Linked DNA regions of Elephas maximus indicus. The main gene of each other region encodes a partner of the protein of the gene in region 3 in a complex. Links are inferred from orthologs where the notes say so. Each region holds a gene or a part of one and is shown on either strand. Other genes may lie near its edges.

What was found. Proteins that work in one complex are often made in the same cells at the same time.
Region 1: the proteins of CNOT1 (region 3) and ZFP36 are in contact, whole or in part, in a crystal structure (PDB 4J8S), measured with the Homo sapiens proteins. The link is inferred for Elephas maximus indicus from reciprocal best matches to the Homo sapiens genes CNOT1 and ZFP36. Residues at the interface, in NP_057368.3 of Homo sapiens: Gln821, Glu835, Asp845, Ala848, Asn849, Phe852, Gln853, Tyr856, Asn894, Glu897, Glu898, Phe901, Gln904, Tyr905, Pro906, Glu909; in NP_003398.3 of Homo sapiens: Arg314, Arg315, Leu316, Pro317, Ile318, Phe319, Arg321, Ile322, Ser323, Val324, Ser325.
Region 2: the proteins of CNOT1 (region 3) and CNOT9 are in contact, whole or in part, in a crystal structure (PDB 4CRU), measured with the Homo sapiens proteins. The link is inferred for Elephas maximus indicus from reciprocal best matches to the Homo sapiens genes CNOT1 and CNOT9. Residues at the interface, in NP_057368.3 of Homo sapiens: Ile1415, Ala1416, Thr1418, Thr1419, Gln1422, Ile1423, Lys1426, Asp1427, Phe1428, Met1444, Asn1447, Leu1448, Gly1451, Met1452, Met1454, Ile1455, Arg1458, Glu1459, Tyr1548, Gln1549, Arg1552, Met1553, Pro1554, Gln1556, Ile1557, Leu1559, Val1564, Lys1567, Gln1568, Leu1569; in NP_005435.1 of Homo sapiens: Arg19, Glu20, Tyr23, Ile26, Asn27, Ser30, Ser31, Pro32, Arg35, Pro54, Met55, Trp57, His58, Ser59, Phe60, Gly61, Ile63, Ala64, Ala65, Leu67, Gln68, Val71, Asn72, Tyr74, Pro75, Ser76, Ile77, Asn78, Pro79, Thr81.

The regions. Positions count from the first base shown.
Region 1 is NC_064829.1:112,052,983-112,063,296, forward strand, and holds ZFP36 (mRNA decay activator protein ZFP36), read right to left. Parts: upstream 4,524-10,314; 5' UTR 4,450-4,523; coding exon 4,426-4,449; intron 3,605-4,425; coding exon 2,657-3,604; 3' UTR 2,552-2,656; downstream 1-2,551. UniProt on the Homo sapiens protein: Zinc-finger RNA-binding protein that destabilizes several cytoplasmic AU-rich element (ARE)-containing mRNA transcripts by promoting their poly(A) tail removal or deadenylation, and hence provide a mechanism for attenuating protein synthesis.
Region 2 is NC_064824.1:117,128,606-117,139,958, reverse strand, and holds the start of CNOT9 (CCR4-NOT transcription complex subunit 9), read right to left. Parts: upstream 5,052-11,353; 5' UTR 4,851-5,051; coding exon 4,827-4,850; intron 1-4,826. UniProt on the Homo sapiens protein: Component of the CCR4-NOT complex which is one of the major cellular mRNA deadenylases and is linked to various cellular processes including bulk mRNA degradation, miRNA-mediated repression, translational repression during translational initiation and general transcription regulation.
Region 3 is NC_064839.1:25,357,843-25,368,323, forward strand, and holds the start of CNOT1 (CCR4-NOT transcription complex subunit 1), read right to left. Parts: upstream 5,242-10,481; 5' UTR 5,103-5,241; intron 1-5,102.

The DNA of each region.
Region 1 (10,314 bases), on a different chromosome or scaffold from region 3:
GGCTTTTTTTTTTTTTTTTAAGAAGGGGCAGGGAATTTGTTTCTACTAAGCGAAGTGTTGTCTGGAGTCTCCATTTCTGCAAATGTCTGTATCGCTGGCTAGTGCTCTGTGCCTCCTCAGTGTCTTGGGGTCTCTGGGTTCTTGTCTGTCTCTTCCTCTTTCCCAACCCTCTTCAGCCTCAGGGCCTGAGCCCTTTCCCACCTTGGGGGCAATTTCCTGGAAGAGGGGACCAAAAGTCCAGGTCTACCAGTGGGCAAGGAGTGAGAGGGGAAGGAAGGTGTGAGGAAGGGAGAAGGGAATGGAGGGAAAGGGGCAGGGGGAAGAGGAGGGGGGAGGAGGACGGGCTGGGGGGCGGGACAGAGGGAACAGAGGGGTAGGGAGGGGAGGAGAGTGGCAAAGAGGAGTGAGAGGGCAGGGAAAGGATGGTGAGGGAAGGCAGAGGATGAGGAGGGCTGGAAGCGTAGAAAAAGGGGAGAGGGAAAGGGTACTGGGGGGGTGAAGGGGGTGAGGCAAAAACAGGAGGGAGAGGAGGAGGAGGGAGGGCTGGAGGCTGAGAGGAGGAAGAGAGAAGGAGGGGGAAGAGGGGTGAGGGTGCAGCCGCATCGAGGGTGGGGACGAGCGGAGGAGAGGGAAGTGGGAGGAGGAGGGGAAAGGGGGGGAGGAGGAGGGGAAAGGGGGGAAAGGAGGAGGGGAAGAGGGTCGGGTTGGGGGAGTTGGAGAGTGCGATAGAGGGGCGGGGCGCAGGCCCTGACGCGGGGCCGCTTCCGGGCGCGCAGCTACCCCGCCCCGGGGGTGGCTCCGAGGCCTCTTGCCTTGTATGGTGCGAGGTCGCGGCTCGCCGGGCTCCGCCCTGAGACGCACGGCCAACACTCACCTACACTGCGCTGGGGAGGCTGACCCTGGCCGGTCCTGCAACTGCCTGGGGCCTGCCCGCTTCCAAGGTTCGGAAATGCCCAGATCCTGTAATTCTGAACTTTCAGAAGCCTGACCTGCTAAGATTCTTTAATTCCCAGGTTCTAGGACCCTGGAAAAGGAGCCTTGGTGGCCCAATGGCTAAGGGCTCCTGCTAACCCAGAGGTCGGCGGTTGGTACCCACCAGCCCCTCTGCGGAAGCACAGACCTGACAATCTGCTCCATTAAAGATGACAGCCCAGGAAACCCTATGGAGCAGGTCTCCTCTGTCCTATAGGGTCGCTGTGAGTCGGAATCGTCTGGAAGGCATAGGACAACAGGATCCTGGAATACCAGAGTTCGAGAATTCTGCGATTCCTAACGTCTTGAGATGCCAAGGGTCTGGAATTCTGGGGGTCTAGAATTCTAACTCGGCAAGAGACAAATTCTGAGATTCTGAGATGTTGAGAGCCTAGAACCCTGAGCCTTTAAAACAGTTCCCCCCAAGATTTCGAAAAAGCCTAGATGCCTCAGAATCTCAAATCTTAACGCGCTGGCTCCTGAGAGCCCAGAACGCCCGCCCTGGCGTTTCCGGGGTGACCCTTCCCGACCCTCCACCGCTCCCCTTCCCCCTCACCCGTCACCCCGCGCCCGCGGGGCCCGCCCCTGGGCTCAAGCGCCAGCACATTCCGTCCTCCCGCTCTGCCCCGCCCTCCTCCTGCGGCCTGCCTCATGGGGACGGAAACATCCCGTCCCCGCCCGCGCCCGGGCGAGAGCTAGGGCAGGCAGCCTGACGGGACGGGAGCGCCTGTGTCCCCCACGCTCCGGGAACTGGCTCTCCCGGCTCCTGCCGGGTGACCTCACCTGGCCCCGCCCCCTCAGGTGAACGGTCGGCCGATTATGTCACTTCCTGCCAGGTAAGCGCCCGGAGGAGCTCCGCGCCGGGGAAGTTTGGAGTTCTTATTTAACTTGACCCCGCTTCTAAAAACGGGCACACCATCCATCCTTCCCATTCCTCACGCCCTTCGGACGCTAGAAAAGCCAGGATTCCAGTCTACACGTTGATTCTTTTTATTTAAAAATTCCAAAAAACACAAAAATAGACTTTTCAGGTAACAATATATATATTAATATATTATTATAGTATACTTATAACAATAATTATTCCATTGTTTCCAATATTACAAAAGGAGAAAGAAAAATACAAGGGGAGCAGACGACCCAATATATATAAATACTATAAAATCTATTAGAATAAATAAAGTCGTCATAAATAAAAGACCCATTGGCTTGGGCGGGGGGGTGGCAACGGCTTTGGCTGCTTGCTTTTGGAGAGAAATTTGAGCACCAGGATTCCCTCTCAGGGGAGGCTCCACTAACCCCCAGGCGTTGGGACCTCAGGTCTAGGAAAATTGGGAGGGGGCAGTGGGGGCCTATTATTCACAGCACATGAGATTCTAAGAGACCGATTTGGGCAGGGGAGAGCTGGGGACCCCACTGCCTCCCTCCAATATGCTACATCTTGTCTTTAAAGAACCCAGCAAACACTCCATCTCCCACACCATAAACACTGTCCAGCTGGCACACTGGGGACCTGCCCCAGGGCAGGGTCAGAAGAGTGGGTTAATGCATCTGGGAAGGTGAAGGGGGCTACTTGATCAAGGGCTCCCCCAGTTCCCCACAGCCCCAGGGCCCTTTGTGGCGTCCACAGCATGAGAAATGGACCCCCTCTGTGATCCAGCTGATCTGTACTAGGGAGGACTTGTCACTCAGAAACGGAAATGCGATTGAAGATGGGGAGTCGGCGGGGGGCTGCAGGCGGCTGGGGTGGCCCAAAAACCCCCGTCTCGAAGACAGGTGAGTCAGAGCCCCCCAGACTGCTGCCGCTGCTGGCATAGTCGTCAGGGTCGGATCCCAAGGAGTGTGCAGAGGGGCTCCGAGCCAGGCCACCCAAGGGTCCCCAGAGACTGGGAGTTGCTCTTCGACAGGAGGGGCAACAGGTTGGGGTGGGGTCCCTTCGGGGCACAGGGGTCCCAGGGGCAGCAGAGAAAGCAGAGGGCGAGAGTGGGAGGTCCCCAGGCGGTGGTGGCGGGGAGCTGGAGGGCGAGAAGGAGCAGGAGGACAGGGAAGGGCCCGGCAGGCCCGCTGGTGGTGGTGAAGCCCGGCGGCCGGAGGGCAGGCCAGAGAAGCTGACGCTCTGGCGCAACACGTGGGGGTGCCCAGGGGTGGCCAAGTCCTCGCTGGGGTTGTGGATGAAGTGGCAGCGCGAGCCGTAGGGGCAGCGGCCCTGGAGGTAGAACTTGTGGCAGAGTTCCGTCTTGTACTTGGGGTGGCGATTGGCCTGGCGCAGCTCACTCAGGCCATGGGCAAACTGACACTTAGCCCCGTAGCGGCAGCGCCCGCTCTCAGAGAAGGTCCGACACAGCTCAGTCTTGTAGCGGGACGAGGTGGCCGGGGTTGCAGTAGGCGAGGTGGGTGAGGGTGACAACTCAGGGCCTGGGCGTGGAGCCAGGGGTGCGAAGCCTGGGGGTGGTGGCACCCAGGCGCAGGCGCGGCCCTCCACCAAGCTGGTGGAGCGGCCGGGCAGGCGGGGGACCACGCCGGCAGGGCTGCAATCGGATGAGCTCCAGGGTCCTGAGGAGGGCCATCCCAGGCTGGACTCAGTGCCTCCGCGGGTTGTCCCTGCCAGGTCAGGACTCAGCGACAGGAGGCTCTGTGGGAATGGGGGCGGTTAAGACACCGAAAATGGAGGGTGACGCTCCGCCCCAGCTTCAGGGCAAGGCACCTTAAGAGCCTGCCCTGCCCGCCCGGTTTGTGGGTTTGTGGGCTCTGACTTGAGCCCCACCCGCCCGCAGAAACCCGGGGTTTCGCGATTCCAGGAATCTCGATTTGGAGGCTTGGAGTTTATCCACGACTGAAGCCTACCCCGGGGCACCCGGGAATTTGGGCTCTCCGATCCCGGGCACAGAGGGGGCCCCAAAGTCAGGGCACACCACTGTCCCCCAATTTTGAGCCTCTGGGACTCCGCGGATCTGACCCATGCCTCCTAGATCGCCAGTATGATAACTGGAAGATCCTGTCAAAGTTAACCCCGGAGTCCGGATCCCTTTGGTTCAGTTCTGAGAGCCTTCCCCTGGACAGGGAGGGAGGCAGGCAAGGAACAGAGGTCGGCTTCCCCCTCCAGACTCTTGCCCCTGAACCGCCTACGCGCAAAAGCGCGCCCTCAGCAACTCCTAGGGGTAAGCCAGGTTCGGGGGCCGTTTCCGCCTCTAGACAGCCCTCGTCGGAGAAAAATCCTCCGGCTTTCTATCTCCAGGGTCACCGCACCCATATTGGGGACGAGATCCGGGAGTCCCGGGCTTCATTTTCGCCTCCAGAGAATCGCACTGGTCTGAGAAGAAAGGCAGGGACCCCGTGCCGGAGTGGGTGGCACTAAGGAGCCTCAGTTTGAGAAGGGAGCCAGGGTCTCCGGGCCGGAGTTTGCGGCGCTAAGGAGCGCTAGTTTGAAAGGGGGTGGCCGCTGCGGGGGCTCACCTCGTAGATAGCAGTGAGATCCATGGCGGAGCTGGGGGCCGGTCAGCTGAGGGCTCGGCCGAGAGTAGAAGAGATGGAGTCAGAGGCTGCGTTGGGGCTGGAGGGCCACCCTCTTATAGACAGAGGGTGGGGCTAATCGGGGCGGGGCCGGGGCGGGGGGCGGGATCAGGAGGGCGCTTCCCGGACGCGCGCCCCCGGCGCGGGCCGCGCCAGTCCTGGACTAGTCCCCTTCCGCCCGGCCCACAGTCGGGGGGTGCGTGGGGTGCGGAGTGTCGGCCCAGTTTTCAAGATTGGAGACTGAGGCGCGAAGAAGGGAGCAGGGGCGGAGGCGGGTCAGAGGTCCACGGGGAATTGACAAGGGAACAGACAGACAAAAGAGAGGGTGTGCGTGCGTGCGTGAGTGCGGGACAGACATGGAGAGAGAGACATATACAGGATGAAACACACCGAGAGAGGGGAGGTGGGGAGACAGAAAACATCATGAGAGACAGTCTCAGAGAGAAGTTTAGAATGAGAAGCAGGATGGAGAGATTCGTACAAAGAGACAGAGAAAAACAGTGATAAACGCACGAAGAGGGAGACAGAAACTCCAAGGGGCAAAACGGGGAAATGGGCGCAGTAGGCTGGAAGCGAGTTCTCTTCCCAGACCTGCCCTTGGCACTCTTCCAAGCAACACAGATCCGGAGACCTGGACCGACCGCCCTCCCGCCCCCACTCGCGGGTTGGTTGTGTGGGTGGCCCGGCTACCTGGCCAGGCTGGAAAGGGGCCTCCTTTCTCAATTCAGCAGGGCCCCTGTAGCCCCTCGTCTTCGCGAAGCTGATGACGATTCTAGGTCACTTCTGGGCTGGGCACTCTTCTAAGTACTTTATATACCTTCACTTTATCACTGCTATGAGTCAACCAGGTATTAATATGCTCATTTTACACAAGTGGAAACTTGTGTAAAAGAGAGGCACAGAGTTAAAGTTACTCCCTTTGCTACCCAGCTATACTAAGCGGCAGCGGCCCAAATATCAGTACCTTAAGTTATATTTACAGGTTTGCTCTCTGAGCAAATCCTGAAGACAGAAAGGGGGAAGAGATCTTTTGTTATGATGGAGGGTTGCCTTGATTGAAAGTGGTTTTGAGATTGGAGAAATGAGTCATCCCCAGCTGATGTGTGGATGAGGTTTATCATGGTGTTGGCCTCAAGAACTCCAACTATGCTGAGGATCATTCCCCACATTGGCAAGTCTCTTATTGTCAGGCGGATGTCCTGAGTGAAAACTCTCTTAAGATATGGGAAGAAAGCTTGTTCTTTAAGGGGGTTGTGGACCTGGGAACATTGGTTAAGCACTCGCGGGCTAACAGAAAGGTTGGCTGTTCCAAGCCACCAGCTGCCAAGCAGGAGAAAAATGTGGCAGTCTGCTTCTGTAAAGATTACAGCCTTGGAAACTCTATGGGGCAGTCAGAATCGACTGGAAGGCAATGGGTAGGGCCCTAGGCGCAAACTGGAGAGGGAGAGGGGTGAGGCGGTAAGAAACCATTGTCACTGAGGGGTTATAATGACGGAAAATTCATTCTTGCAGACTGCGGCAGCGGGCTTGCACTGAGGTGGGGAGATTGTGCCAGACTCCGCGGCGATTTGCTCCTCGGAGCACGGGGGGAATCCCTGGTGCAGCGCATTCTGGGGCCCAGGGGCCTTCCCAGGCCGGTCTCGTGAACTGAGCGGCCGCGGGCGGCTCTGGCACGGTTGCGGCCTCCCGCTTGCCCGTGACTCACTTGCAAGGGGCGGGGGAGAGGGGGCTTCCTGGAAGCCGTGACGAGGAGGCTCGGGCCGGACGCCCGGGTTCCTCTCTTGTAACCAGGGCTTCTGTCTTCTGTAAACAGAGCCTACAAAACAACGGGAAATGGGGTGGTGGTGCCTCGGGCCCCCTCCCAGGGGGACTCCAAATCCCGGTGCCGCTAACAGGACTACGGCTGGAGAACATGGGTGGGGGCACCCTGGGGTCTCCGGGGCCCAGCTAGACGCTGGCCGAGGTCCTAGAGTAGGAATCCCGTTCCGATTCCCTGGAAAAAAGGAGCATTTCCCATCCCTGAGTCAGGCTGACCCTCCCTCCCTTCCCCCATCTGCTGAGTCATCCGCCAGAGAGCCGGGACGCTTGGGACCGGGCCAAAAAGACTTAAGGGGGGGACCTTGCGGGCGGACAGACTGACCCCCCGCACCCCGAACACGGACCTGTGGGGCTCAGGGGTCGGGATCTCAGCCCCTCCTCGCGAAAGAAGAGTTCAGGTTCTCAAGCAGCCTCCTCCCCCAGACCCAGGAGTCCCGGCCCCCTGTCCCCTTCTCCCCCAAGCCTGGAAGTTCGGGCCTCCAGCCCCCTCCTCCCCAAGACCCAGGAATTCGGACCCCCAGGCCCCTCCGGGCTCAGACTCAGGAGTCTGGGCTCCCAGCCCCCGCCCCCACCCCCACCCCCACCCCCGGGGGTCAGGCGTCCCAGCCCAGGAGGAAGTTCACGTTGGACTCCTCCCCGCTCCCGACGTAGCCAGCGGGAAAATCCGCGGCCCCAGCGGCGGCGGCCGGGAATCCCCTTTGGAATGATGTTGGGGAAGGGGACGGCCGGGGTCCCCCGCCAAGGCGCTGGGGGCAGGTCCTGAGCGGCTAGGGGAGAGGGGTAGGGGCGGAAACCAGAGAGGCTAAAAATACAGCAAACACTTCCGGCCTAGGGGGAGGGGAGCGGGGAGCAGAGTTTCCAGAAAAACAAGCGGGGACGGGAAACGCGGGGGTGTGAGAGCCGTTGTGAGCGCGCGGGCGGGCGGCCGGGCCGGCGGGCGGGCGAGCTGGGGGCCGCGTACTCGCAGCACGTGTGTGTGCCTGTGGCGTGTGTGCGCCCGGCGGGACTGACTGGGTGTGAGTCCAGTGTGCCTGGGGGACGGGCTGGCTGTCTGCGCCTGGGTGTGCGACTGCGTGGGGGAGAGGGAGCGTGGGACCTGTGTGTGTGTGTGCGCGCGCGCGCGCGCGCGCGGCAGTGTGAACAGCGTGTGCGCTGCAGGTGCGAAGGCGTGTGCCCCGGCATGACCGGCTGTGTGAGACCGAGGGTGGAAGGTGCATGAGACGTGACTGTGTGTGTGAATAAGTGTGCCAAACTGCCTATGCCTGTGCGGTTGACCATATTGTGCATATTTTAACCCTCTGTGGGTGTGGGAACTCTATGTGCATCTGGCTTTGAGGTGGCAGTCATGACAACGTGTGACTGACAGGAGTTTTGCTTGTACATCTGTGTATAGCTGTATGCCATGGCAGGATCTGGAGTGGCTGAGGGTGTGTGTAACTCCGTGAAGATGCCTGGGCGCGGGTGTGTGCCCTCTGGTGTGACTAGAGGTGCTCTCAGCCTTGTAGAACTATGTACAACTGTGTGTGCCCCACATGGGGGCCTCAACTGTGTGAGGGTGTGATGGGCTGTGCACACACAACTTTGTGTGTAAGCTCACCCATCTGCGTGTGTGTGGTTGTGGCAGTTTTGTGTGTAATCACCAGGTGTGTGAACAGTGCTCACATGCGTCTGTGGCCTTATTTGTTGGTGTCACAGATTGCGTGTGCATTAGAATATGGTAGGCCAGTGTCTGGATGTGGTTCCCCTGTGGCCCCGTCACAAGGCAGTGAAACTGGTGAACTTGGTTCCTGACGTCTGCAGCGCGCGTGATGGGGAGGCGGCTGGCGGGGGCCCCCCTCCCTGTTGTTGTTGGTGTGTCTGCCTTCGTGGGCAGAGCAGACGCACACACACCAGCACCTGAGAAGTCACGGCAGCGTCTGTGTTCGGCCTTATCTATGCCCAGCGACACTGCCTCTGATAGTGTTGGGCTGAGGGCAGGGCTGAGTCAGCCTGTGATGGGCAAAGTCTGCGATGGGGTGACAGATAGCGGGTTAAGTGCTGGGTAGAGGGTTGTTTGTGTATTCATGGCATTGGATTATTTCTTCAGAGAGTTTGTGGTGCAGCCACTGTGACAGGGTCCCTGGGGACACCGCGCTTGTAGGATGGTAGATCATGGTATCCTCTGTTGGGATGGGGTGTATCCCCCACGGTCTTTTCCCTACAGGAGTGGCTGTGTATCTCACATACACCCTTCCCTGGAGTGTGTGGTTGTGCACCGGACTCGGTCTAATAACCTAGTAAGAACAAAGTTCTCCCCAAGTCCCTCCATGATCTGCTTCGACTTCCTGTCCTATTCCCACCCCCTCACTGTGGCCCAGGTCGTCTTGCTGTTCAATAAACACAACAGCACATCCCTACCTCAGGGCCTTTGCACTTGCTGTTCCCTCTCTGTGGAATGCCCTTGCCCCACATGCTCACATGACTTATTCCCACTTCAAGTCTTTGCTCCAGTATTGCCTCAGTGAGGCTTTCCTTAATTTGTGTCAAAGGTTAAAAAAAAAAAACTTTCCTTTTTTAGATAATAATCTTGTGTATCTATATTTTAAAAAAACTCATTGTCATCGAGTCAATTCTGACTCATAGCCACCCTATAGGACAGAATAAAACTGCGCCATTAGGGTTTCCAAGGAGTGGCTGGTGGATTGGAACTGCTGACCTTTTGATTAGCAGCTGAGCTCTTAACCACCGCATGCGCTGCCAGGGCTCTATCTTATCTATAAACCGGTTGCCATAGCGGCCTTATAGGACAGAGTAGAACTGCCCCACAGGGTTTCCAAGGAGTGCCTGGTGGATTTGAACTGCTGACCTTTTGATTAGCCGCTGTAGCTCTTAACCATTACACCACTGTGGTTTCCATCTTATCTATATAACATAATAAATACAAGAAAATACAGGTAACATCCGTTCGTACACCATAGTAATTAATATCCGTGAAACCCCTACCCAACCTAAGCTCTTCAACTTTAATGGTTTTCAACGGCTTAATAATTTTCCTCTTGTGTTTCTTGCCTTAGACTTATTCCTAAGTACCAAGTTTTTTGCTGTTATAAATCTCTACTTCTGATCTCACTCCTCTGCCTTATTTTTCTTCTTGGAGCATCTCGCTATCAGATAACACGTTCTACTTTGTCATGTTTATGGTCTCTCACTAAGGTATCTGCTCCAGCAGGGCAGGGATCTTTGTACTGGGCCTGGCCCACACTAGGTGCTCACTAAATGGTTGTCAAATGAACACAGCTTCCTGGTGCACACGTCCCATCCTGTGTGTGGCTGCTGGGCTGTGCACCCACCCCCTCGCCTCATCCCTGCTCTGTTTTAGTCTTCCCCTTCAATGTGGTGTGGTTTTCAGCACTGTGGGCCCTCGATCATGGGTGGTGGCAAGCCACACCCCAGCCTCTGTGTAAGGTGGTCATGTTGCCTCTGCCCAGTAGGTCCAACTGTCCCCCAGTCTTCTCGTGTGGCACCGACACGCCTCCACCAGTACCTGGCATGTCCCCCAGGGTGGGCTCTGCTGGGGAAAGGGTTAGTGCGTTTTTGGTCATACACAGGATAGCTGCATCACGTTAGGTAGAAGTATGGAGCCCTGGTGGCCCAGTGGTTAAGTGCTATGGCTGCCAACCAAAAGGTTGTCAGATCAAATCCACCAGCCACTCCTTGGAAACCCTATGGGACAGTTCTTTGTCTTATAGGGTTGATATGAGTCAGGATCAACTCAACAGCAATGGATTATGGGTTTTAGGCAGAAATATGACTTCATTAGTGTATTTATTTGGAGATTCAGTATAGTTTAAAATGTATACTGGTGCCAAGTGGCCAAGGGGTAGATTATGGTGGTCAGTTGTGTGTGTCAACCTGAGTAGGCTATAGTGCCAAGGTACTCAAATGTTAATCTAGGTGTTGCTGTGAAGGTGAAGGTATTTTGTAGATGGGATTAAAGTACATAATCAGTTGACTTTAAATAAGGGAGAGTATGTA
Region 2 (11,353 bases), on a different chromosome or scaffold from region 3:
TGAAAGGGTGGGATGGATGAGGGAAGGCAAGGAACGGTTTCATTTAATGATGACAACAAAGTGGTTATTATCCTTATTTTACAACTGATGAAACTCTACTCAAAGATCACCTCTAAAGACTTCTGGTATAATTTACTATACATTTCTGAGGCTATGGCTAATATGCAATTCAATCTAGTAGCAAACATGGCCCAGTGGCAGATAAGCAAATTCATCTATGACTTTCCTATTGGAGAGTACCTAATTTAAAAATATAACAATTAATCACAAGAGCAAAGGTTAACAATTTTTGAGCCCCAGGTTTCTGTAAGGATCAAATTAAAACTATAGAGCATTTATTTATTGAGCATACTATGTGCTAGGCACTGTCCATTACCTCACTTTAGTCTTAAAATTCTAAGAAACAGGGTCAAGGTTGAACACACTCAAGGTCACACAGCCAGTGCACAGCACAGTGAGATTTAAACTCTGGTCTACTTCTCTCTAGAAGCAGAGATCCCTACAGGGTCTTCAGGACTGAAATCAACAAATATCCCTCCAAGTAGAAAAACTTATTTTGAAAAAAATCCAATAAAGAATTTTCTTAAGTTTAAGGTTAACAGTCTTTTCTTTTTATTATATGCTTTAAAAACCAAAACAAAACCCCTATAATGTTTACATTATCAAAATTTAGAAGGAAGTAGGAAGTTGTTCTTCCCTTTTCTGTGCTTTTCCGTTTAACAGTCTGTACATGGACCACGTATTTCAAGTAACACCTTTTTCTTTCAACAAAACGTAATACAGGTTAGAAATTTATACCAAAGTGAGTCACTAATGGCTAACTCCAAGTGTCAACAAACACTGGGTATTGACAGTTGGTTTTCGATCTCTGAAAGATCTTAACATTTACTATGACAAGGAGACAGATATTAGAAATTATCTTAATTATGATTTTTTCCTTTTGGGTTAATTAAAAAATTAATATAGATGGCTTTCTTAAACAGAAATAGCCAAATCTATCAATATAACATTATGTTCAAGGGCCAAGATAGCTGTCAGTTTTCCTGACACCAATGAATATGTGACAGTGAATTCAAAAATTGACTTAGATTGAAATAGGAATTATTTTCTAAAGTCTGGAGATGATTCAAGTGGCTTTGGGTGTCAACATAATGATGATATGCCAAGAAAAAACCAAGCCAAAACCGTTGCTGTCAAGTTGATTCTGACTCATAGTGACCCCATAGACAGAACTGCCCCCATGGGGTTTCCAAGGAGTGGCTGGTGGATTTGAACTGCCAAGCTTTCGGTTAGCAGCCAAGCTCTTAACCACTGCACCATCAGAGCTCCACACCAAAAAAAATAGAACTTTCTAAATAGTGCTTCAAGTATTCAATTAGCTTTATTAACCTCTTATCTTGTAAAATAAGGGCCAGAATATTCTTCAAGGTAACTTTTTGAAAAATAGATGTGAACAAGCAAAGAGAAGTTAAGCAATTTGACTAAAGCTTCAATGGGAGACCCAGGAGGAGATCCTTCAGTGTGCAGTGTTCTTTCTACTTTCCAAAAGGGAGGGCTTCTGGGAGTTCATCACAGCTTCAACAAAAGTATATAAAATGACCAGGTAGAAAGTAAGGGAAAGATTATGGCTTAAGGATGCTACAATTGTTATTGGGAATTAGTGGGAAATTAAGAAAAATATATATATGTATATGTATCTCCAAAGCATTTCTTAAAGGTATACCTTTGGCTTTCAGATCACTAGCATAACATTCATTACGGAAGATAACAACTCTAGGTATGTGAAGATTTGTAGTTGTTTTAATCTGAAGCAATCTCCAAGGTCCATAACAAAGTTATTACTTTGCAGAGGTAGGAACTAAAATCCCAAGGCTGAAGTCTGGAAGCAAGTCATTTAACCAGTGAGTGAAGTGAGCCAACCACTAAGCAGTTTGTCATTCTTGTTCAATCTTTAGAATAATCTCGTGTGGTATTACTGTCCCTATTATATTCTATGTTGGCAATAACAAAGTTGTTAGGATGTATTCCCTCAAGAATGACAAGTCTACTACATCAAAACCAAATCCATTGCTGTCGAGTTGATTTCGACTCATAGTGACCCTATTGGACAGAGCAGAACCGCCGCACAGGGTTTCCAAGGCTGCCATCTTTCCGGAAGCAGACTGTCACATCTTTCCCCTGTGGGGCAGCTGGTGAGTTTGAACCAGCAATATTCAGGTTAGCAGCCAAGTGCTTATCCACAGCTCCTTGTCTACTGCACAGTTCTAGCATAATAAAATATTACTCTACTCTCAAGATTTAAGGTACTTCCCCAATTATCTCAATCTCTCCCTCTACAAAGAATAGCCTGAATTCACGTGTGATCACATCATCCTATGATAGTACTTTCTATCTCCCTGCCTGAAGAAATAACTTTCCTGCTATTTAAAAAAAAAAAGAAGGGAGAAGGGAGTGATAAAGGCACATACACAAATATAAATTTTCATTATTGGGCAATATGTAAGCATCTTCTCAAGTAGCTTAGATTATTGTGGGTAATGTTGCATGTATTATTAACTCTCCCCATCTTCTAATGAGTGATATACATCATTATTGTCCTTTTACCCAGATCATAATTCCCAGTTTGGTCTAACAGATGACATGAGGGATTGGGAACGAGGTGAGTCAACTTTTCTATGCCTCAGTCTCCTCACTAATCAAATAGCTCAGTGGATGAGTGGTACAAAGGAACTTGTCAGAGCTGCTGTACAGTCCAACTAGTGTAACAGGTGCAAGTACATGTAAAAGTTTAAATTCTTAAGTAAATATAAGGCATTGTACATTGAAGAAGCATATACTGAGTATTTATTATTCTTAATGTACCACAGCTTCAATGGCTGTTCAAAAGATGAACTATTGAAAATAAAATTGGAGAATGGCTTGGTATCAAAAGTACAAATCCTGGGGAAGACAAAGATTTTGAGAGAGAGCCAACCTTACAAGAATCTCCCTCAGTTTAATCTGCCTCTCTCCTGTTTTCTTTTTTCCCCTACCAGCAGCAGCCTTACCTTGCAATGTACTTCTTCCCAAATTTGGGAGGTAGAATAAAAAAGCTAGGGAAATTAAAATCAAATTAAGATTTAAAAAGTACCTCTCCACAATTACAAACATGGTGACAGGAGACAGAGATGCCACTGGCCCTGGAAATGATGACTTGATAAGGATCAAATCTCAGAAAGCAATGTTTGCTATAGGCTAGCCACACTTGGCTCACTTTTTCTTCAGTTGTTATATTTAAAGTTAAGGCAATTTCTTTTGTGCTCTATTTAGAACTTATGTCATGTTGCCTGGTAATGCAATTTCAGCACGTTATTATCTGCTTAAGTCACTTTGTCCTTGGTGAAACTGAAAAAGTAGGACTGGCATGCAGAAGCGTTCACTAAAATCAAATGATCCCTTTTTCCCATTATGGCTACATGTTCTCAGTGGTCACCTCCTGCATTTATATTACTTCACTGAACAAAGTATTTGAGTTACTAAATGGTAGCAGAAACTATCCTAGCACTGGGGAAACAATGTAAACAGGACCCAAATGATCCCTGTTTCTGTGTTCAAGGGGGAGGACAACAAGCTAGTAACTTCATACAATAGCTACATATTAGGATCGGTATTAGGCAGGGTACTCTGAAAGAGAAAAGTTGGCTACTCTGAATAAGGTGGCCAGGGAAGGCCACTCTGAAGCACATTTAGGTGGAGACCAGAAGGATGAGAGCCTGTTACACCCACATGGTGTGTGTGTGTGTGTTTGTGTGTGTGAGACACACAAACACACACAGAGGGAAGAAAAGCATTTCAGACATAGAGACCAGAGGTGCACCCAGGAGTGGAAAAGCACATGGAGGAGGGTTAGCAAGGGGGCAGTGTAGCTAAAGCACATGGAGCAACTGACATAAGAACCAAATTAAAAAACCAAACCCGTTGCAGTGAAGTCGATTCCGGGTCATAAAGACCCTACAGGACGGAGTAGAACTGTCCCATAGGGTTTCCAAAGAGCAGCTGGTGGAATCCAACCGCTGACCTTTTGGATAGCAGCCGTGCCCTTAACCACTGTGCCATCAGGTTCCAGTGACATAAGACAAGGCTGAAAACGTGAGTAAGGACGACATCACACAGGGCCTTGCAGGCCATGGCAAGGAGTCTAGATTTTATCTAAGTGCAATGGGAAGCCATAGAAGTACTTCAGACAGGTGAAATACACGTTGCGCTTTTCTTGTTAAAAGAGCACGCTGGTAAAGCCTGGTAAGCTGTTGGGACGAGATGTGTGAAAGGTTTTAAAAGCAAAGAATCATAACCAGATGCATATTTATTCACTTCTCCGGGCTTCAGGTTTTCCATCTGTAAAAGCTAGTGGTTTGAGCTAGAAGCCATTCCCATCCTGCTGCGTTAGGCAGTAAGTTCCGAGAGCACCGGCCGCGTCAGATTTACCACGGGATCCCCCTCGGCCCCGCCGGCGCCCAGCACACCATTGCGGCTCTCAAACTGTTGGTCAGCGTAAGGAATCAATGAATGGCCGGCCCGGGCCGCGAGGGAGACGCTCCGGGCGCTGGACCAGGCCCCAGGGCCGGAACAGAACGCTACGCGCAGAGACAGGCAGCGAGAGCCGTCAGCCGAGGAGAGCGGCGGCCAGCCGCATCGCAGGAAAGGCGCGGCGAGGAGGGAAGCAGGGCCTCGCCGGCTGAGGGCAGAAGGAGCTGGACTCGGGGCCGACACAGGGAGCTGGGAGAGGAGGTCGAAACGCAGGGCTGAGGAGGGGTTCTGGGCCCAGGCCGGCCGGTCCAGCCACTCACCGCAGCCGTCGCCAGGCTGTGCATGTTGGGGGCGGCCGCCACTCTCCTCCTACCGCCGGACGCGCCCGATCCGCGTCCTGCTTCAGCGCCGCTGCCGCCGAAGATGATGAGCCGCCGCAGCCGCCATCCGCCTCCGGCTCGCTCCGCCCCCTTCGCCGCCCTCTGACCTCTCACCCCTGACCCCGCCCACACAACCTCTTCCCGCCTCCCTGCCCTCGGCGGAGTTAAAAGTCTCACAGTATGTCTTTTGCCCCTTAAGATTCAGGGAGGACGTCCGCGACCCGCTAGTCCCCGTATCCCCGGCTTCAAGTAGGCATCCTTACGGGTGTGAACTCTGACCCTCCTTCGGAAGCCAGTGAAGGGCGGGAAAAGAGGAGCAGTCTCGGGAGGCCTGTTAGTGCGCATGCCCGACTGGGCTCAGTAGGAGGGAAATGGTGGGAGCTCGAAAGGGGGATGAAATGGAAAGTGCGCGTGCGTACTACAGTCACGGCAGGGGCGGGGCTTCTGTGCAGGGCGTCGCTTGGTGCCGAGGCGGGGCGAAGGCGTAGGAAGGGCGGAGTTATAGGCTTGCGCGCACGCCTGGTTTGGTCGCGTCGAGTGTGCGTGCGTGCGTGCGTGTTTGCGTGTGGTCACAGTTCCCGCCATCAGCCGCTCTCCCTGACTGGGGGAGTGAGCGGCCCCGCTCCACAGTGGCCGGTACCCCTACTTTACTCCCGGTTCCTCCTCCTCCGCTCGGACTCTGTGTTTCCGGTAGGCCTGTTCTGGGGCTCCTGACTCGCAGGCACAGGTAAGGCGGGCCCGGCAAGCTTCTCAACTGAGCTGTTTCTCCCAGCCCCCCTCCCCTTCGCTGTCCGCCCACTCGGCGTTCACTCTTAAAGAGTTCACCGCGCTGCTTCTCAGCCCGCCCCCCAACCCCTCGACGGTCCCTAGCCTCAGATACTCGACTTGGGGCTTCCCCCCAGGCTCTCCCTCTCTTAAAACCTGGTCTTTACTGTCCCGTGCCCTCCGCAGTCCGAAACTGGCTCCTGCTGTCGTCCACCACTTGCCACTTAATGAGGCCTGCTGTCTCTTCAGGTGACTTCCGTTGCCGCACATTCCATCGGGTCCTAGACATGATACTCAATTCAGTCTCTGGACCATTCTTCACTTTCTTTCCTCTCCTAAGTATCCTTCACCAAAAGGCATGAATTATATTTTTTGTCGTGCATCTGTCTGGTGTTCCCCATTTCTGGCCATCAGATTAGGTTGTCAGGTTTACCCGTTTTAGGTTATGATCCGCAGAAGGAAATGGTAATTGATGGCAAAGCCCTGTATTCTGACGAGTTGTCCTGTAATGGTTTTGTGGTGGTGGTGGTGGCTGGGTGCCCTCGAGTCGTTCTCCACTCCTAGTGACTCCATGTGACAGAGTAGAACGGCCCTGGAGGGTTTTCTTGGCTGCAGTGTTTATGGAAGCAGATCACCAGGTCTTTCTCCCATGGAGCCGCTGGACCAACCTTTTGGTTGGCTGTCGAGCTCGTAACCATTGTGCCACCAGGGCTGTTTGGTTTTGTTGTAATCCCCTCAAAATGTTAGCTCTGTGAATGCCTTTTGCGGGGGGGCGGGGGGGAGGTTGCTAATGCCAGACAGGAGTCTCTGGGTGGCTCAAATGGTTAATTTATGGACTACTAACTGAAACGTTGGCAGTTCAGACCCAGCTAGAGGTGCCTCAGAAGATAGGCCTGGCAATCTGCTTCCAAAAAGTCATAGCTTGGAAAACCCTATGGAGGAGTTCTACTTTGCACACATGGGGTCACCACGACTCAAAATTGACTGGATGGCAACTAACAACGATGCCTGACGGGCCTGTAACTGGAAGAGCTATCTTAAAGGAGATGTCAGGTAGACAGTTGGATATGCTGTTGGAGCTCAGAGAAGAATTTCTGGGCTGACAATTGTATATACATGTGTACACCTGTAAAAAACCTGTTGCTGTCAAGTCAATTCCGACTCATAGGGACTGTATATATACACATAAACAGAGAGTCATGTTGGTAGTAATTGAAGCTATGGATGTGGATGAAATTGCATAGAGTATAGTGCTAGAAAAGAAGGGGACCTAGGAGGGAGCATTGAAGAATTCTTAACATTTAATAACTGGATAAAGGAGAATGAGCCTTGCAAAAGAGATGAAAGAAGTTGTCAATAGTGTTGAATTCTGCTGAAAGGTAAAATTGAATGAGGACTGAAAAAACCCTGGTGACATAGAAGTAATTAGTGATCTTAGTAAGAGGTGTTTCTATTTTGAATATCTGGACTTCAGCCCTAGGTCCTCTTCTGCTTTTACTTTTGCCTTCCATAAGCCTCAAATTCCATCTCTACATTGAAAACTTAAGAATGTTTATTTCCCATCCAATCCCTTTGCTTTGAACTCCACATCTAAATAGCCAACTGCCTGTTTGACATCTCTACTTAATTTTTTCAGAGGAATTTCAAATATAACATGTCTGAAACATGTCTTGGTCATTCTTCCCACACCCAAATTCTTTTTCTTCCAGTGTCCCATTTTATTAAATGATACATCCATTTATCCAGTTACACAGGTTAGAAACTTGAAAGTCATTCTTGGCTTTTCCCTCATCCTGTGTATCCATACCCTCTCCAAATTCTATCTATTATACTTCAATATATGTCTTGAATCTATTTCTCTACATCTTCACTACCACCTTTTTTAGTTCGAGCTACAGTCGCCTTTCACCTGGACTTAATCTCACTGGTTCCAAGTATTTTCATCTGTAAAATGGAAATAATAAAAGGTTCTACCTTATTGGATTGTTGGGAGGATTAAATGAGATAACCACGATGAGCACTTGGTACATGGTAAATGGCCAATAAGTGTTACTTGTTATTGTAATTGTTGTTATAAGCCGAACAACTTAAGTATTCTATCTGGTTGCTCTGTTTTCTTCTGTTCTTGCTCCCTCCACTGTTCTTGTCCCCAGACCCAAACAAACCACGTCACTTCTCCATTCAGCAGTAATATGGCATTTTCTCTGCTTAAAACCCTCCCATGCATCTCCCATCACTAAGTGCTTATTACACTGAGTTAAAAAAAAAAAAACAACCCATTGCCGTCGAGTTGATTCTGACTCACAGTGACCCTATTGGACAGAGTAGAACTGCCCCATAGGGTTTCCAGGGAGTGGCTGGTGGATTCGAACTGCCAGCCTTTTGGTTAGCAGCTGTAGCTCTTAACCACTAAGCCACCAGCATTTCCATTATGTTGAATAGTAAAGATCAAATTCAGAATCCTTACTGTGGTCTGTAAAACTGTGTAACTCGGCTCTTGCTTCACTAGCTTCATCTTGCACCATTCTCTCTGTCACTAAGCAGCATCCATGCTGCTACTTTTCAGTCATGCCAGGTTCTTACCTATCTCAGGGCCTTTGCACTTTTATAAAATAAAAAAGAAATTCTTTTCTGTTTTCTTGGATTGTTCCAGCACCACCATTCCCCAATCAACTTACTTAATTTTCTGTTCAAGTGGTACTTTTCTTAATGTTCCCTACCCTTTACCACCAAATCTTAAATACCCTGTTGTAATCTCTCATCTTGCCCTGTACTTTCACTTTTTATCACTTATTGGAACTTGTAATTGTATATTTACTTGTGAAATTGTTTAAAGTCTGTGTTCTACTAGATTACAAACTAATGACCATTTCTACTTCTCAAAAAATTGTTAAATGAGTAAACTGGACTTAAATAACAACCATGAGTCTTTTGGAAGGACCAGTTTACTGATTATTGTCATTTTAAGACAGCTACCTTTTGCAAAAACAGAGGACCACAAGAGAAAAACAAAGAGTTTTCCAGCTTTGGGTCATTATACCCTTTCATATGTCATAAAATCATTCAGATTCATTCTTTGAATTGGAGATAAATTTTATGTAGGCTAACTTCCTTCTTTACTTTCAGCCACACCACTAATTTTATCTTGTTGTGTGTTTGTCATATGGATCTTTTTAGGAAAGAAAGCCCTTGGAAATCAGAGCAGTGGTTTATATATATATATTTTAGCAACGGGGTAGACTGTGAGACCAGTGAGGATGAGGTTTCCAAAATAGATAAAGCAAAATTCCATATTTAAGTCAGTTGGTGGTGGTGGATATGGGAGGAAATGTTAAAATGTAATAGTTTGTGTAGAACAGGATTTGTATTTAGAAATAGGAAGTGTATGAATCCCAAACACAGAGAAGCATTTGAATTTCTTTTATGGGTAGTCATGAGCTGTTAAAAAGGGGAAGGAATTAGCATCAATCAATTTAGCACTTACTAAGAGCGTTTTCTTGGAATATATAGGAAGATACGACTTTATTTTCTCCTTCAGCGATGAAGTTAAGGTGACGATTACTGCATAACTTAGCTGATAATGCCCAAAGAGTAGCCGTTAGAAAGGATATTATAGTGTAAAAGATTCATTGGGTGAAAAAAATTGAGAGAATGGAGACTGGAAAGCAATTGATGCAGTTCATGGATGAGGATGGAATATAGAAATGTGGGCTCTGGCAGTACTTAGTTTTGTTTCTTCCTAATTCTGTGACCATGGATAAATTACTTACTCCCTCTAAGCCTATTTGCCTATCTGTAAAATGGAGATAATAATCCCTATCCTTTAGGATTATTATGAAAATTAAATGAGATAATGTATGTATGGGACTTAGGACTGTGCTTAGTAAATGTTGCATAATACGGGGTGGAGGTTGTGACAGAGAGGAGTGTCTGAATTAGGATAGTAGCTATGAAGAGGCTGAGGTTTGGATGGAGGAAAATGAGGTTAAAGCTGATGCTAAAATTTCTTGCCTCAATGATGATAGAAGGATGAAAGTAGGAAAGTCTGGTGACCCTTGAAGTGAGGGTATGGGTTGTATCATCTGCACATTTGTATCTCTACCTCAGCCCTTCAAATTGGAGTAGCTCAGTAAATGATATATTACTAAGTAAATGAATTTAAAAGTTGTGGCATTAAAGTAGGTGAGTGAGAGATGTTTGGGTAGAACTTGAGGAAAAGTTCAGACTTAGGCCTAAGTTTGAGAAAGAAACCCACACATTTAGTTTTGAAAGAAAAGTGAAAGCTCCAAGTTTACCTGCCTTTTGAAATATATATCAGCACATCATGTAACTGGTGTTTAAAGACATTATTATGTAACTATGTTTATAAAATCAACAAAGCATATACTCTTTCTTAGTTTCAAAATGTAGCAGGGTAAATAAACCAAGACACAAGTTAATCAAGGTGCTGGCTCCTTCTGGAGTCCCTCATTTTGCGTAGCAGTGCTCCTACAGTCCTGTTGATCGTGTGTGTGTGTGTGTCTGTGTGTGTGTCTGTGTTGAGCGTCATGTTTTAAATGTTTTTAGTAAGTTTGTGGTTTTTAATAATCAAAGGATTAATCTTTGTTGTATAAATGATTTTTTTAAGTTTTAATTTTGTATATTTGATTCTTTTAAAAAGACACATTTATATTTTTTTCAGCTGAGTTGATGGCTTCCGGAGAACTGGCATAGCTGCAGAATATGAGTAGTTCCCCAAGAAGAGTGCTTTGCCTTTGGCACAAGGATCAGAATAAAGGTGAATTGTTATTACATAGGGTTTTTCAGTAAAAGTCACTGAAAAGTAAGTAATATTTTTGTTTTGGATATGTGCTCCCAAGAGTACGGAAATTGGCAAGAATGACAGTTTTCTATGTCTATTTTGTAGTAACAGTTTTATGCTTTAGCATACTATCTTTACCACAGAATGCCCTCTAAATAAGAGTGTTTTCAAAGTGGAACCTAAAATATGAGCATTCAAATAAATGTACAGGAAATAGGAATATTTTTGCCAATATTGATTGAGCTTTCATGAAATGTTCAAAACTGAACAGTAATTTTAATAATTGTGAAGAAATTTAGGAAAAGGGGAATCTCTTTGTACATACTTAAAAAATAATTAGTTATCCTTTGTCTCCCTAATATTGCTTTGATAGGAGAATTAGCATCGCAGAGTTCAAAGAAACCTTGTCTGTCCTAGATTCATAGAAAGTTTAACTGTTACTGGATCATGCAAGATACCGAAAAAGAAGCTTAGTTTTTTTTCCTCTTACCCCACTAAGGGAATCCCTGAGAACATGATGAATGTGCAAAAGTGGATGTAGTTACTTCAGTTAGTGCGAAAGCAGGTAACGGGGTAAATTGAGGCATTAAGAAAAAGTTTTGTCTTATTGGCTCTGCCAATTTTATGTCCTGCATCTTTTAGTTTTTTTTTTTTTTTTTTCTTTAGAAGAAAGAGAGGCTGCTAGCAGAAATGATTGAGACATTTTCAGTATTTGAAGTAAAATCTTATGCAGTTAACCAAAACTTTGTACTGAAATATTTGAGTGTTTGGGAGGCATAGTTATCTATAAACAGAAGTAACCAATACATTTTTTGTTTCTCTAATGCTTTAGTGAACTTTGGAACTTTATCTCAGAATTTCATTAAATGTTATTTTTAAAATATATATTTTTCATTGGAAA
Region 3 (10,481 bases):
TAAGTTCAATCAGATACATAAGACAAAATGGGTAGCTCCTCTCCAAAGGCAGGATGAGAAGGGAGGAAGGGGCAGGAACTGGTTGAATGGACACAGGGAACCCAAGGTAGAAAGGGGGAGCGTGCTGTCACATTGTGGGGATTGCAACTAATGTCACAAAACAGTGTGTGTATTTAAAATAAAATAAAATAAAATAAAAAAGGCAACTGGTTTAGTTCCTAAAAGGAGCCCTAGAGGCACAATGGGTAAGCGCTCAGCTGCTGACTGAAAGGTCAGACGTTGGAAACCACCAGCCGTTCAGAGGGAGAAAGATGCAGGGAGAAAGATGCGGCAGTTAGCTTCCATAAAGGTTTACAACCTTGGAAACTGTATGCGGCAGTTTTACTCTGTCCTATAGGGTTCCTACAAGTTGAATTTGACTCAACAGCAATGAGTTTTAGTTCACAAAGTTATGTTCTACATCCTAGTTTGGTGACTAGCACCTGGGGTCTTACAACTCTTCGTATCTACTCATCCAGAGCAAAAGAGAAAGGAGCAAACAAAAGAAAAGTAAAAACTAGTCTACAGGACAAATAGTCAACTTGAACCACAGCCTCATCTACCCTGAGACAAAAAGAACTAGATGGTGCCCAGCTACCACTACTGATCATTCTAATCAGGGCCACAAGAGGTGGACACTGATTGTGGAATGGAAAAAATATGTGGAACAGAACCTCAAACACCCCCCACCGCCCAAAAAAACCCAGACCTACTGGACTGGTTGAAACTGGAGGACTCCCTGAGACTACTGGCCTGAGATACTCTTCAAACCTTGAACCGAAGCTAACCCAAGGTCATCCTGTAGCTAAGTAACAAATTGGCTCAAAAAATAACTACTATCACGCATAAATACTGTGCTCCTTTAAAAAAAATCTATATGAGACCAAACAGTCAATAATTAAAACAAAGATGAGAATGTAAGGGGGCAGAGAAACTAAATTAATGAAACAGAATACCAAAATGGAAAAAATGAGAACATTCACGCATTGTGAAGAACATAACCAACATCACTGAACAACTTGTGTAGAAACTGTTGAATGGGAACCTAAACCTAACACAACAAGCATTATTAAAAGAAAGAAAAAAAAAAAAAGCGACTGATTGACCATACAGGTTCTCATTTTTTTGATGAACTATCAGATACCTGGATCTTTTATGTCTTTGTATTAAACTCTAATAATGTCACAACTCAAGTTAAACAGTATGAAAAGACAGAACATTAGGCTAGAGTAGGAAAACCTGACACACTCAGCTTTGCCATTACTTGACCTTAAATTAGTCACCTCACTTTCCTGGGCTTCAATTTCATAAAGTGATGGCAACAAAATTCTGAATGACAAACTTCCAAAGTTTAATTATCTAAAAAAAATAACAATTATAAATATATAGCCATAAGAGAGAGAATCCACGCCCTGAAAGAACAAAAACAAGACATACTGTTTCCTAAGAATGCCATGGTCTATAAATCTACCGAACTGTATCAAATGAAGTGCTATTCATTCATAAATCTGGGCAATGTTTACATTTTGAGGAAGGGGAGACTCCTTGCCCACAGAAAATTTACAGGCATACAATTAAGTGAACTTTCCAAGTAGTCTTTAGGAGGCCAAGAGAAATGTGAAAAATCAATTTGGCTAAGAATGATCAGGAAAGATTAGTAGACAACACATTTGAGTTTGGACTGGAATGAGGGATGAAGTTTTGGGAGATACAGATGACGGGGACTTTCCAGACAAAAGGGGCAGAGATGTATCTGGAGACAACTGTGTAGCAGTCTTTTGTTCACATAGCACAGAACATTAATGTGCTGCTACGGACAAGGAGGGGTCAGCCCTTCTAGCTCCAGATAAAGGTATCTGAAGGACTTCTGAGCAGAAAAAGGATATTTCCAAAGGACCAAATTTGGAAGCAAATCGGCAGTAATATAAAGAATGGTATTCCTAGAATCTTTTACAATTATAACGTATTCACATGTTATCTACATAAAAAAGAAACCCAATAAACAAATGGACTGGAAATGGTACTGGACATTAGTTAGAAAGCTACTGCAAAAAAGATAAAGGGTCTGAAACTAGACAAAAACTATTCTTACAACAGATCTATATAAAAAAGTAACAATTTCAAAAACTAGGAGCTATAAATTGAAGACTTGAGTGACAAACATTCAAGCTAATTTAATCATCTAAGGGAAAATGTTGAGCTCTTAATATGAATCTTAAAAACATTAGGATGGTGTATTTCAAAATATGCTTTCATCCCACCTTCTATTTCATATCGTTAGTTCAACATCACAAAAAACTCTCCTGCATACAATTTAATGTCTCAATCAACATTTTAGACTTTCCTCCTAACAACATTAAACATTTCTTAAATCCACCCTCTACACTCTGAAAGGCTGTATTTCCTTCAAACCTCAGAAGAGGGTTGCAGATTAAGTCTACACCTCTAATTGCTGACTTCTTAAAAGAATGCTTTTCAATGAAGGATTTAACTGTTTCGTTACATTCTTGCAAGACTGAGTGAAAAGTATGTTAAAATAAACTATTATGTACACAGGATGCAAAAGGTTTCCAAATGATTTTAGCTTTGAAACAGCTACTAAAAAATTGTGAGCAAACAGAAAAGGAACTGCTGGGATTTTCTATATATAAAGTCCTAAAATAAGGCTCAGTGGGATGCCATTTTGAAACTTCCCAGCAGGAAGTTCAGTTTGGTCAGAGGGCTATTTAAGAAGTGCTTCAGCTAATATTTTTGATGACTTGAAAGCTTTCTTCTTTTACAAAAGAATATGTCCAGTTAGTAAGGCACAGCATTTCAAAATGACTAACAAACATTTTACAAAAATCAGTGTTTTAATTGGAATTATTGTAGACAAATTGGCCAAAGATTTATCTAACAGAATGAAATAAAAAATCAAGTTTATAAATACAAGCTGGAAAAAGAACGTTTCTTCTAACTAGATCAGCATCTAACCAAAAACATACTTACAAAAATCAACATCAAAGATAATTGTGAAATTAGTCTTTAAAGCATGTTTTGAAGAGGTAGTAGGCATCTCCTTTTCTGGCTTCACATAGTTTTGTTTTTTATGATTTAATCCAAAGTTTAGAGAATGTCGAAGTACTTAACCTGAGATGATCCATGACAGGGAGACCAGGATTTAAATCTTCAGTAGAAATTTAAGAGACTAGGAAGAGCCACGGAACCAGGGAAGAGCATTTCAGCTCTGTTCCACCACAGTGCCAGAAAGCTTGCCTTAAAACTCCTAAGACAGACTCGGGGGACAGTAAGCGTGTTAATGGTGATGGCTGAACAACATGATGAACACACTTAATGTCACTGAACTGTACATGTGAAGATTGTTAAAATGGCAAATATTTTGTTACTCAGAGTATAAAAAAATTTTTTTTTTAATTTCTAAGACTACAATGTTAGGTAAGAAAGGGAAGTATTTTCATTTACTGGTCAAGTCTTTGTTCCTTGATTAAGTCTTTTTTAAGTTTTCACTGAAAGTCTTGGGGCCCACTTGTTGAAAAAGGACCAATCCTCCAAACAGATTTTATCAACATGCTGCCATTTCCGTCAAAACACTAGATGCCTAAGCTTTATGTATCATCAACCCATTTTCTTCTTAGACAAGGTAACAATTTGCAGTGTCCTAAAATGTGATTCAACTGTTACCATACAGCTTATTAACAATTAAAATACTGTACTACCAATCTTTGGAAGGCTAAGAATCTCAACCTGGGTCAAAGATCACTAAAGTATTAAATTCAAGTATCCCTTCTAAAACAAGTTTGTTCTTAATCTGTTTGACCTACTTGCTAATTTTTTCTCACCTTCCCCCATTTTTTCATCCATGTATCCCTATCCCTATCAAAGGGCCTGCCATAGAGGGAGTGTTCAGAATTTTTTCCTAAAAAAAGTACTCGATTATATTTCCTAAATTACTAACTGCTTAAAAAAAAAAAACAAAAAAACCCAGTCACATGCAACAGAGTTATAGAGAAATAGGCAGAAAAGCAAATAATAGAGTCCTAAGAAATGTGACATTCGACTGAGTGTCTTCAGAGGGATTTAATTGTAATATAGTTTCTATTAAGCACAACATTTTCAAACACATCGATCAGTATTTGTTTTGCTCTTTAACCCACAAAGCTTACTACTCGTGGGGGTGGTATCTGTACTAGCACAGCTGGATGAATTCTGCAAGGGGGAAGGATACCGGGGGAAAAAAGGTATTATTTGTGTGTTCGGCCTTAAGTAACCCCCGTTAGATCTGCGGCAAATTTCTCACCAGCAACTGTGGCCTACAAGCGTTCTCTTCGCTAGGGGTGCTCCCCGCGGACGGGCAGAACCGCCACTATTGCAGACAGCCGGCGGGTGGCTGGGGGCGGACGGCGGAGAAAACTGAGCGCACAGGCGCGCGAGCGGAACAAAACCTGTGGCCAGAAGTAATGAGGAAGTGCTCGCTCCCGCCCGCCCCTCCCACCCGTAGCCACCCGAAACATGGGGGATTTGACAACGTGCTGGGGGCGAGGAGGGGACTCGCAGATCCAGGTACACGGAGAAGAACCGGGAGCCCACAACTCCAAACACGGTCCCCCTGTCCACGGAAGTAGGCCTCGGGGGCCGATGCCCCTGCACCCATTCGGGAGCCCAGAGAGGAAAGAACAAGTTGAGGAGACTGGTGGGGTCTTAGGAGATGCAGATCGCGCGAAGTGAGGCCCAGTGGCCCAAACTGCCGCCACCGCCGCCGTCCTCGGAGCGTCCAGGCCCGGGCCGGGGGCCACCCCGGCTCTCACCCCGCGCTCTGCCATCCGTTTCCCGGAGCTTTCGCGCTGGCCTCTTTTCCTTAGGGCCCAAGCCTCCGCGAGTCGTAGGGGCAGAGTCCACCCTCCCCTGCCTCGCCACTTTCCCGGCCTGGCTGCTCCTCACTCCCCAGAACTCGGGCAACGTTTCCAATGGCCCCAGGACCACCCCCGTGCCTTTCCCCACCGGCACTCGCGTCCCGTAGCTGACCAGGTCCGCCTACGGCAACCCCAGGCTCCAGCCAACCTCACCTCACACGGCTGCGGCGGCGCTGGACACAGGAAACTCCTGGGTCCCCGACTCCGGCGCTCCTCGACCCCCTCTTCGGTTAACTCCGCTTGTTTCTCTACAAAATGGCGCCGAGGTCGCGCGCTCTCGTCGCGGCCTTTCCCCTCCCCGTTCCCATTTCATCATTCGTCGCCCGCCCGAGGGGGGATGGCCCCAGCACCAGCCAATGATCGCACCCGTCCCGTGGCTCCCGCCCAATCACCGACAGGTGCCCGCGGATTTAAACCAATCACACACTATCACTTGCAGAAGTCTAGGAAGAAACCAGGCTCCTGCTAGCAACTACCAATCCGGACTCCCACTTCGCAGGGTTTGGCCAATTGCCTCTCACAAGTCCCCAGGGGCTGGAGTTGGAGCCCTCGCGCCTGCGCTACGGGCGGGGCCAATGGGGATACGGAGAAAACTTCGATTTGTGGGTTCGTGTACTTCCCACCCTCGAGGTCTTCAACCAATAGGAGCTTGGCATTGCCTCTAAGAAACAATAAATAAGGGGGGAAACCCACAACCCTTCACTACCCTGCGCGGGAACTACTTTGAGTTGAAGTGAAGGGTCTTCCCCACTTTCTCTTTTGAAGTGTCGCAGGGCTTCCCAATCTAAACACCCCTCTCCCCTCCTGTCCCTTTCCTTAGAGCGGAGTAAAGTGGGGAACGCCAGCTACCAGGAAGCAAGCCAGTATATGACTAAAGCGGTGGCGCTCTGCACCCAGGGACGAGTAGTTGCTTTCTAGTACCCACCCCGGTTCTTGTCGTAAAGAGGACGTCTTTGACGTCACTTGCGGCGCCCAGGGAGGAGCAGTGCATCCTGGAGAATGTAGTCTTCCAGATCCTGCACCTGGTCATGATTTGCCTCGCTTTCGTCGAGTAACTTCTAGTTCTATGTTGAAGGGGTGCCCTACGGAGACGTAGGAAGCCCAGGTCCTCTTCCTGGATTGAGCTCTGAAAGCTATATCAGAAAGGATACCTGTGCTCTTTGCTGTCGGGAGAAAAGGTAGAGAGACTCATCTTCTGCTGTGATTTGTTATCTATAGTAAAAAATATAGTTCGTTAAGATTTCCCTCTTCCCACGCCAGCATGGGAGGTCTGGGAAGGAAGCGTTGACTGGCTCTTTTTCAATTCGAAAAAACCTATCCCTTTTCTCACCCTATCTTCAACCTAGCCATCTGTCTCATACTACCTTTTGTGCTTAAAAAAAATAAAATTTTTTTCGACACCTGCCTTTCTTTGCTTGGATGCCGAGTCTTTGCAGCAAACATTTATTGAACGTTTTTTCTTTTTCTTGTGTTTGCCAAGCAACTAACTGTATGAGGCTCAGAAACCCCATGTACAGCAAGAGCAAGGATCACTTCAATCTTGTTCGAAGCTGTATTCCCAGCACCTGACACAGCGCCTGGCACATAGTAGGCATGTGAGCAAATAAATGTTGAAAAATCAGGAAATGGAGAAATGGACTTACAATATTATAATGTTTAGGCCCCTTAAACAGGCCAAGTATGGGAATCAGGCCCTTTTCTACGTTGCTGCTGGTACTAAAAAATTGGTAAAATCTCTATGGATAGAATTTTGGCCAATTTTATCGAAACTGAAACTTCACAGAGTCACTAGCCCAGTAATTCCATATCTAGAAATTTATTCCACAGCTGAACATTGCAGATGTGCACAAAGAGGGATGCACAAGAATACTCACTGAAGCATTGTTTATGGGAAGCAAAAATTGGAAACAGTAGGGAAGTGGTTAAATAATTGTGTGGTACTGTCATACAATGAATTATGAATTGTTAAAAAGAATGAAGTAAATCTATATGTACTCGTATGGAATGGTCACTAAGATTTATTGTGAAAAAAATTATTAGGTGCAGAACTGGAAAAAAAAAGTAGCGAACTCAGAATGTTACATTCTTGTGGGAGAAAATAACTATATATTCCTATATTTAAAAAAAAAAAATATTTACATGTAACTAAATATGTAAAAAGATTCAGAAAGATACACCACCTCAACTGATACCAGTGGTTATTCTTGGAGTACCTGGTAGGCATTGCTGTCACGTCGATTCTGACTCATAACCAGGGGCTGGTTACCCAATAGGCAAAGTAACAATTTAACATTTTTTCACCACACCAAAGATTCTGCTTCTGGGTATGGCTGGCATCTCTCTCTCTCCCAGCCCACAGCACCTTCCTACAGAATCAAAGCCTCTTTTCAAATTTACAGGGGTGGATGACCCAGTAAGCAAGGTAAGCACTTACTAATCTGTAGTGAACAATTTCACATGGATTTCACATCAATTTCACAAAACCCGTGTGAAATTGTTTACTACAGATGATCTGGTAAGCAAGGTAAGCACTGTGCTTACCTTGCCTATTGGATAATGTGCCCCTGCTCATGGCAATGCTATGCGTTACAGAGTAGAACTGTTCCATAGGATTTTCATTGGCTCTGATCTTTATTACAGCAGACCACAAGGCCCTTCTACCATGGTGCTGCTGGATGGGTTCAAACTGCCAACCTTTAGGTTAGTTGTCGTTAGTTGCCCTAGCTGAGCACAAACTGCGCCACCCAGAGACCTCATTCCTGGGGAGAGGAGTGAAAATGAGGAAGAATAAAGGGAACTTTTGCTCTTAATTCTGTTATTGTATTATTTGCATTTCATATAAAAAGAATGTATTCATGTTTTGTTTGTGTCATTTCATATAACTTTTAAAAAGAGATAGAAATTGAGACCCAAAGAGATCAACTAAAATCAGCTCTGTAATCCTGCAACTACTAGTAATTGAAGCCTCAAACTTAGATCTCCTGAAATACAGCTGAGTTCCTTTCCCCCACTTCAGCCTGTGTGCCAAAAAAATGGTCTGCTGCTTTATACTGAGGCTGCTCTAGACCCTTGAGCCCACTGCCAGCCCTCCTCCGGAGTTGCTGCACCAACATCACTCCTAGAATTTGACCCACATGGGGCACACTTGAAGGCAACCAAGTACCTAAAGAGTTCACACAATAGGCTGGCGATCAAAGTCCTTCAGCTTATTCTCATCAGTACTGGTGGCTTTTATCTTTGCTAGGAAGCTAGAAAGTCCCACAGAATGTTTACAAATGGAAAGGGGTAGGGGAGAGCTGGTACACCTCCTCCTTTTACTGAAAGACAAAATAGTTAGAGATCACACCCAGACAAACTGTTTTACTAGAAACCGTCACAAAGGTCTGCATCATCTTATAATTCAGCAATTATGTGTACAGGAGCTCAAAGGTATTTAGAAACAAGACATTTCAGCCAGCTGTTAGTTACGCACCTGGCCTCTTTCCTTCCCCTTTTCCTACCAGGTCTTCACCCCAAATTAAGTGTACATAGGAGGCTCTGAAGTAACTTTACAAACTTTTCATTGTTTCCCAAAATAACCTAGAGAGGAAAATATAAGTGCTGGGAACAAGAGCTTTACTTAACTGGGTTAGGGATAGAAGTAAAAAAATAACTAGAAGACAAAGGACTTGCTTTGAAACCTGTATAAACTGTATTATAAAATGTTTGGAGGTGCTTGGAAAATGGTGAGCAGAAATACAAAGCCTTGTTATTCCATGTATAGGAGCCCTGGTGGTGCAGTGGTTAAGTGCTCAGCTGCTAACTAAAAGGTCAGCAGTTTGAACCCACCAGCTGCTCTGCAGGAGAAAGACGTGGCAGTCTGCTTCTGTAAAGATTATAGCCTAGGAAACCATATGGGGCATTTCTACTCAGGTCTCAAGGGTCAATGAGTCCAAACTGACTCGACAGCAACCAGTGTTAGTTTATGTTTCTATTACCCAGAACCAAACCTGTTACCATGGAGTCAATTCCAACTCATGGGGACTCCATGTGTTACAGAGCAGAGCTGCTCCATAGGGTTTTCTTGGGTGTGATCTTTACAGCCAAGGTGCTCCTTAGAGCCAAGGATGGCAAGACTTCGTCTCACATACTTTGGACATGTTATCAGAAGGGACCAGTTCCTGGAGATGGACATCATGCTTGGTAGATGGTCAGGAAAAAAGAGGAAAACCCTCAAAGAGATGGATTGACACAGTGGCTGCAACAATGGGCTCAAGGATAACAATGATTGTGGGAATGGCACAGGACCGGGTAGTATTTTACTCTGTTGTACATAGGGTCGCTATGAGTTGGAACCAACTCAATGGTACCTAACGACGTTGTTTTTAGGGGTGAAAGTATTACACCCTCCTACCACATGCTAAGCACTTTACATGCTTTATCTCATCCAAGCCTTAGGATTCTGCAAGGTAGGTATCGTGTTACTCCTTTTTACAGATTTTAGAGAGGTTCAGACACTTCCCCAAGATCACATACCTAATCAAAGGCGTAGCAAGGGTTAGAACCCAGGCTATCTGACCTCAGGGCCCACATCTCAGTCACCATGCTCTAAGCCCTGGTTTGGAAACCCCTCTGACTGGGTGGCCTCTAAGGTCCCAGCTGTAATATTCAGTGGCCCATCGGTGACCATATATTTTTCAAGTAAAAAAAAATCAGATGTAAAAATAAATAGTTAAAATGAGATGCGTAGTCTGACAGAGGGTTATACGTTGGTCAGATAAAAAAAAAAAAAAAATTTTTTTTTTTTTTTTTTTTTGGTGCTGAAAATACTGTGTGGCTGGTGTTTTCCAGGTGAGTTTACATTTGAATTCTTAGATTCTTTCCATAACAGGCAGTTTTGTTTCACGATGATGTGGGAAGCTTCTGTCTTTTTTTTTGAAAGGTCATTTCTCCTTCTGCCTCTTTTCCTGAGAGATAAGGAAGGAGCTAGAGAGGGAAGGGGGAAGACCACAGAGCATCCCTGGGTTGTGATTGGTTTAGGGTTATCTGACAATGGTTGTGTGTAAAAAAAGTTAGGGCAGATCTGAGAAACCTCCCTGGGCTCTAGACAGATGAGCAGACCTAGAATTACTCCTGATGGACCCAGGGCTGGACAGAGTCTGTGACTTTACCCCAGCTTTCTGTGCCTTCCCTGTGTGCAGAACTGATACTAGAAGTGATTGCCAGAAGCCTGGACCCTCGGCCCCTGCTGTTCATCCTCTGCCCAGGGTTGGGGGGGGGTCTGTCATCATTCTTCCCACTCAGGGTTCTTGCCTTGGCAGATGGTCATCATTTTGTATTACAGACACTTCTTTGGATACTATCTCAGCCCCCAATTTATACTTAACATCTTTTGCCTAGCACCTTTCTCTACCATCATCTTAGGGATTAGAGAGGTAAACTTAGAGAAGTAAATCTCTAGGTGGCATCGTTGTGGGGAAAAAAGAAAGCCTAAACCGTTGCTGTCAAGTCGATTCTGACTCATAGCGACCCTATAGACAGGGTAGAACTGCC